2 linked regions of the Mus musculus genome follow. The protein of the gene in region 1 purifies or fractionates together with the protein of each later gene. This does not show direct contact. Links are inferred from orthologs where the notes say so. Each region holds a gene or a part of one and is shown in the gene's direction. Other genes may lie near its edges.

The links. Proteins that work in one complex are often made in the same cells at the same time.
Region 2: the proteins of C77080 (region 1) and Wasf1 purify together in Homo sapiens (affinity purification with mass spectrometry; 3 studies listed by BioGRID and IntAct, with this or other methods). This does not show direct contact. The link is inferred for Mus musculus from reciprocal best matches to the Homo sapiens genes NHSL3 and WASF1.

Annotation. Positions count from the first base shown.
Region 1 is NC_000070.6:129,221,741-129,224,574, reverse strand, and holds part of C77080 (uncharacterized protein KIAA1522), read left to right. Parts: intron 1-63; coding exon 64-177; intron 178-258; coding exon 259-2,760; intron 2,761-2,834. UniProt on the Homo sapiens protein: Able to directly activate the TNF-NFkappaB signaling pathway.
Region 2 is NC_000076.6:40,928,758-40,932,408, forward strand, and holds part of Wasf1 (wiskott-Aldrich syndrome protein family member 1), read left to right. Parts: intron 1-1,873; coding exon 1,874-2,027; intron 2,028-3,158; coding exon 3,159-3,276; intron 3,277-3,651.

The DNA of each region.
Region 1 (2,834 bases):
TCTCTAGAGTGCTCAGAGGCCTTCTGCTCTAACGGGTTTTCCCCCTCTGGACTGACTCCTTAGGCTCCACCTTCAGACCCCATGACTCATTTCCCAAATCTGGGAAGTCAGGAAGGCGACGGAGGGAGCGAAGGAGCACGGTGCTGGGGCTGCCTCAGCACGTGCAGAAGGAGCTCGGTGAGCCTTGGTCGGTGAGCAGTGGTGGTGGATGCCCGGGAGCCTGGCCAAGCCCCTCCGCTGACCCCATGTCTGTTTCAGGCCTGCGGAACAACCGTGAGGCACCGGGCACTCCACAGCCTCCTGGTTCACGGGACGCTGTCCGCATCCCCACGGTGGATGGTCGCCCCGGTCTGGCCTTAGGGACAGGGGTCCGAGTGTCCCTGCAGGCTCTGGAAGCAGAAACAGAGGCCGGCACAGATGCAGAGGCTGTCATCCAGCGCCACATCGACCGTGTTTACCACGATGACACGCTTGTTGGCCGATCCACGGGAGCCCGGCCACCGCCACTGACGAGGCCAATGTCTCTCGCAGTGCCTGGACTGACAGGAGGAGCAGGATCTCCAGAGCCACTGAGCCCAGCCATGTCAATCTCACCCCAGGCCACCTACTTGTCGAAGCTGATCCCGCACGCCGTGCTGCCGCCCACCGTGGATGTGGTGGCCCTGGGCCGCAGCAGCCTGCGCACTCTGAGCCGTTGCAGCCTGCTCTCTGCCAGCCCAGCTTCGGTTCGCTCCCTGGGCCGCTTCTCCTCGGCTTCCAGTCCACGGCCCCGCAGCCGCAACGCTTCCTCGTCCAGTGACAACTGGAGCCACTCTCAGTCCTCCGAGACCATTGTGTCTGATGGTTCCACTCTTTCCTCTAAGGGGGGCTCTGAGGGCCAGCCAGAAGGCTCTGTAGCTAGCAATAATGTGGCGCCCCCTCCTCCAGGCGGTAGTGGGCGGGGCTCCCCCAGCGGGGGTAGCACTGCGGAGACCTCAGACACGGCCAGCATCCGAAGCAGTGGGCAGCTGTCTGGCAGGAGTGTGTCCCTGCGTAAGATGAAACGGCCTCCCCCGCCTCCCCGCCGGACCTACTCCCTCCATCAGCGCGGCTCCGCAGTGCCTGATGGGCCCTTAGGGTTGCCGCCCAAACCTGAGCGAAAGCAGCAGCCACAGCTGCCTCGGCCGCCCACTGCGGGTGGCTCTTCAGGGGTGGGGGCAGTATCTTGTCCACCCAGCTCAGCAGGCACCTGGGGCTCTGGCTTGTCCCCAGGTGGCTCCAGGCGTCCCCCACGTTCCCCAGAACGGACACTTTCACCTTCAAGTGGCTACTCGAGCCAGAGCGGTACCCCAACTCTCCCTCCCAAGGGTCTGGCAGTTGCCCCTGCTTCCCCAGGCAAGGCTCAGCCCCCCAAACCAGATCGAGTGACATCCCTTCGATCTCCTGGGGCCTCTGTATCCTCTTCCCTTACATCTCTGTGTTCCTCTTCTTCAGACCCTACTCCTTTAGACCGCTCTGGCCCACAAATGTCTACCCCCTTGAGTGACAGGTTCGTCATACCTCCTCATCCCAAGGTGCCTGCTCCTTTCTCTCCACCACCTTCCAAGTCCAAGAGCTCGAACCAAGCTGCTCCTGTTCTGGCTGCCCCTGCTGTGGCTCCTGGGCAGGTGTCCACCATCGACACCAGTCCTGCATCCCCTTCCATGCCCCAGACAACCTTGACTCCAGCCCAGGAGTCTCCTGTTGCCTCCAAAGATGAGTCACCCCCACCATCCCCACCCCCATCTTACCATCCACCCCCACCACCTACTAAGAAGCCGGAGGTGCTGGAGGAGGCCCCACCTCCTCCGGAAGCTGCTGTGGAGATCCTTCCAGATCCCAGCTGGCCGCCGCCACCACCACCTGCACCTGAGGAACAGGACCTGTCGATGGCTGACTTCCCCCCTCCTGAGGAGGTCTTCTTCAATGCAGGCCCTGAGCTTGGCCCTCTGGAGTCCTGCAGCTCTGAGGCTGCCGTCCCCCCAGCTGCTAGCTTGTCCCAGACTCCTCCGCCAGCTCCACCTCCTAGTTCTGGATCAGAACCTCTGGCCAGGCTCCCACAGAAGGACTCAGTGGGCAAGCACAGCGGGGCTCCCAGGGAGGATTCGGGCACGCCTCTGGTCACACCCTCGCTCCTGCAGATGGTCCGGCTTCGCTCTGTGGGTGCTTCCACAGGGATTCCGAACCCTTCTCCGGGTTCATCGGCCCCTCAGAAGCCTCTGCGAAGAGCCCTGTCTGGGCGCGCCAGCCCAGTGACTGCTCCCTCCTCTGGGCTCCATGCTGCCGTCCGACTCAAGGCCTCTAGCCTGGCTGCCAGTGAGAGTCCTGCGAGTGCTCTGCCCACTGGAATACCCGAGGCAGAGCCACGGTCGCCACAGTCTCCTGCCTCCAAGGCCAGCTTCATCTTCTCCAAGGGCACCAAAAAACTGCAGCTGGAGAGGCCCGTGTCCCCCGAGGCCCAGGCTGACCTCCAGCGGAATCTGGTGGCTGAACTTCGGAGCATTTCAGAGCATCGGCCACCTCCCCAGGCCCAGAAGAAGCCTTCCAAGGCTCCCCCACCAGTGGCCCGCAAACCCTCAGTGGGAGTCCCTCCTCCGTCCCCCAGTCTTCCCAGGACGGAGTCTCTTACTGCTCCATCCACCAATGGGCTCCCTCACGCTGAGGACAGGACTAACGGGGAGCTGGCGGAGAATGGAGGTGTGCAGCTGGCTGCTACAGAGAAGATGGGCTCCCCTGGTTCAGGTACTGTAGGCACTGGTGCAAAATCCGTTCTCAGAGGGCCCACCATAGGTGGGCATGCTCTTGGATCTACAAAA
Region 2 (3,651 bases), on another chromosome or scaffold:
TGCGTAACTTGCTTTATTTTTTCTGTTATTTCTTTAAAATACACGAAACATGGAGAAAAAGTCTAAATCTAAAAGCCAAACTCTTGTTTTGGAATTGTTTTGTGGAGATTTGTGATTCAATTTGGGTTTTGAAATGTAGAGGGAGTTCAAAGAAAAGAACATGAACATATAATTAAACTACAGAGTATAATAAAGGTATTTTGTATTATCTTTAAGTGGTAGCAACCGAGAAACTGCCAATCTAATTTAGAAAATGTGTAAGAATGTTATAAAAATTTATACAATTATATTTAATTCAATTTTGCTTACAAGCACATTGAGCTAACATACTTACCATGCGTATAATACTGTTGAGGTAGTGTGAGATGCTGTTGAGTGGAAGGGGCTGTTGTCGCAGTGTCTGCTTTGTCAGTGGGATGACACAGTGAGGAGCTGAAGCCAGAACAGTTCTTCTCTCTTGCATGTGGTTTTTTATCCTTTACCAAAACGGCTTTGGGCATTTGGCACCCGGCTCTGTTTTGGTTCATAGCTGCTAAGTAGAGAGAGGGGTTGGCACTGACTGATCCATTACCCCAAGCACAGGCCACTTCTGGTAGCCTGAAAACAGTGTTATGGTAAGAATCAGCCTCAAGAACAGATCTGAGTTTTCAGTTCTGGTGAGCTGCTTAGCCTCCATTGTTGAGCCTGCTGTGTGTTTTATAGCTTGTCTGTATTTAAAGATGGAATGGCAGTTTCTCTTCACTGAAGTGCTGAGAGGTTAAATGTCATGAAAATTAGTGAAAGCACCCATCACGGAGAGAACCTACTCATTATCTCCCGAACCACTCTCTGCTGATGGTGGGGGAAGCTCTGAACTCTGTGCTGATGTTTGTAGGTATGTCACGACAGGAGCGTGGGCCTGTTGAGATGCAGTTCTGCTGTGACCGTGCTTGTAGAGCAGTACCATTGCTCCCCTGTGACATGCAGACTCCTATGTCCATGAATTGGCCTTAAAAAATGTTAGGGTATCTTAGGGAAAATGATTGAAAATTATGACTGATTACTGACATTGCTGTGGATATTGTATTTGTATACTTACAATACAAATATATATTCCGTATACAAGGTCGTTTCTTCTTTTGATTTTGGTTTTATTTTGACTCTAAATTAGTCTTGGAATGTGTGGCAAATTTGCCCTCCCCTCCCAAGTGTTGGGAGCCATCATACTGGCTTTGCCCAGTGTTTTAATGTGAAGAAATCACTCTTAATATTAAAACTACAGTTTGGATGAATTTTGATGTAAACCTTATTTGAATATTCTGGAGAGCACAAAAGTAAGCAAAGCTAGTTTTAAATTATCACGGATGTGATGGGGCTCTGCCAGTTACCGCAGATACTAATGTACAAGATAGTCTCAGCCTTGTACGGTTAGGTTGAAATCAGCATAGTACAAATAGAAGAGTAACTTCAAAACTAATATAGATCACCCATATGTGGTATTTATAGTGTACACAGGAGCTCACACACTAGTAATTAGTCCCTCAGGCAATTCTGACCAGAAGCTATTGATAAATAAAGGTAGACAGGAGAGATGGCAGAAAAGTACAGAGGTTTATGTCGGGTGGGCTGGGCAGGAGTAGCCAGGAGAGAAAGGAAATATTGGTGGGAATGCGACCTAATGCTTCAGAGCTTGTGAGGACAAAAGCTGCATTAAAACTCATCTGGAAGATCAGGCAGGGAGTGACAGGGATAAACACGATAATAAAATGTTTACAACGACTCCTGATTTAAGGCACACAACCTTTGGGGCACACTAGCTTTATGCAGTACTAATATGTCATTCGGCTGAGTTGTCTTAGAAAAACAAGACGAATCTGTGGTTTTTTTGTTTCAGTGTCTTTGCAAGATATAACGATGAGAAAGGCTTTCCGGAGCTCCACAATTCAAGATCAGCAGCTTTTCGACCGCAAGACGTTGCCTATTCCATTGCAAGAAACATACGATGTGTGTGAGCAACCTCCGCCTCTCAATATCCTCACCCCTTACAGGTCAGCAGATAAGTTAACCCTGCTGTCTGCCTCACACTCCGCGTTTACGGGCTTGATTCACGCAATTTGTAATTGCTTTTGAGTCTAGCTAACAGAGAGGAGCCTTCCTACCTACTGCTTTCTCGAAACCTTTACTCACAGGTGAGCTTTGTAGGATCTGACATACAAAAGCCAGGGCCAGTTGAGTGATGACTATGAATAGCCACCAGCAAAGGTATTACCATGGAACTGTGTCACGGAAGTTGCCCTTGTCTTTCTAATTTAAATTTTAACCATAAGAAATTGAAGTTTGAAATTCCCCAGTGCTGACAGACAGCTGTCTGTTCCCAGTGTGTACATCTGCCCTGGCTGCATAATGGATATGTTAGGTTTTTAATACTTTCCACCACTTACTCTGATGAAGTCTGGAATGACTCAGTTTCTTGGAAATTCTTTCCCAGGGTTTGTTAAATAGGCAGTTTAAGACGTACAGCACACATCCTGGGGGGAAATGATATTGAAATTGTTGTTGGAAGCTGTAGTTCAGCATGCATGTTAGTAACTGCTCACACTGAGCTGAAAGTTAGGAAACCCCTTTGGATTTGGTAAGATAGCGAGTTGGTAGCACACCAGTGGAAACGGGAAAGGCTCTCTGTTCTAAGCGATGCTCCTGCTTTCCAGACTTTGTGATTTGGCAGAAGTATTTCTAATTATTGAATTTCCCAAAGGACTTGGAAATTTAGTATTCAGGAAAGATGGGCCCTACAGTTGGGCAACAGTGTTTAACACTATTAACCAACCCTGAAAGGCGTCTGCTTTTCCTTTTTTCATAGTTTCCTTTCTGATTTATAAAAAAAAAAAAAGAAAGAAAAGAAAAAAACTGTATTAGTATAATACTCTATTTTGACAATATTTATTTATTTTGATACACAATCTCCTTATGTCACCTGGAGTGGCCACAAGCTTGTGACCTTTTCGTCCCTTGCCTTGAGTGCCAGGGTCACTGATATGCTCCCTGCCTGGCAAGGCACTCGTGTGCACATGCTGTGTGTGTGATGCGCTGTCACGGAGGGAAGCACACTTCAGTGGTAAGCATTGGTCTGCTTGTTTCTCTGTCTCACCTAATACACTGTTGGGCGTGCTGTTTTCCAGGGATGATGGTAAGGAAGGGCTGAAGTTTTATACCAATCCTTCATATTTCTTTGATCTGTGGAAAGAAAAGATGTTGCAAGATACAGAGGACAAGAGGAAGGAAAAGAGAAAGCAGAAGGTATTGTAGAAGTTACTTTTTCTGTATTCCCGTGTTGTCGCTCCCTGGAAACGCTGTTAATCTGCACTTTGGCAGCCCTGCTTTGTTGGGTCCGTGCATTAAAGTCCTTATAATTACACAGATCACTAGAGAGTGTCTTGCAGATGTGAGTAAAGTTGATAAATGAAGCCACTGTGTTTCTGCCACACCACGTGGCCTAGCTGTCTTCAGCAGGCTACTGTCTTCTCTTTCCTTTTGCTGGCCTCTTGCGCTTTACTTCCCACTTTGATAAGATTTTCCCGAATCTGCTTGATTTCATATTTTAAATCTGATGATTGTACAAGCATGTGGAAGGAGGACGAGACAAGTCTTATTTTGACACAGTCTGTCTTCACC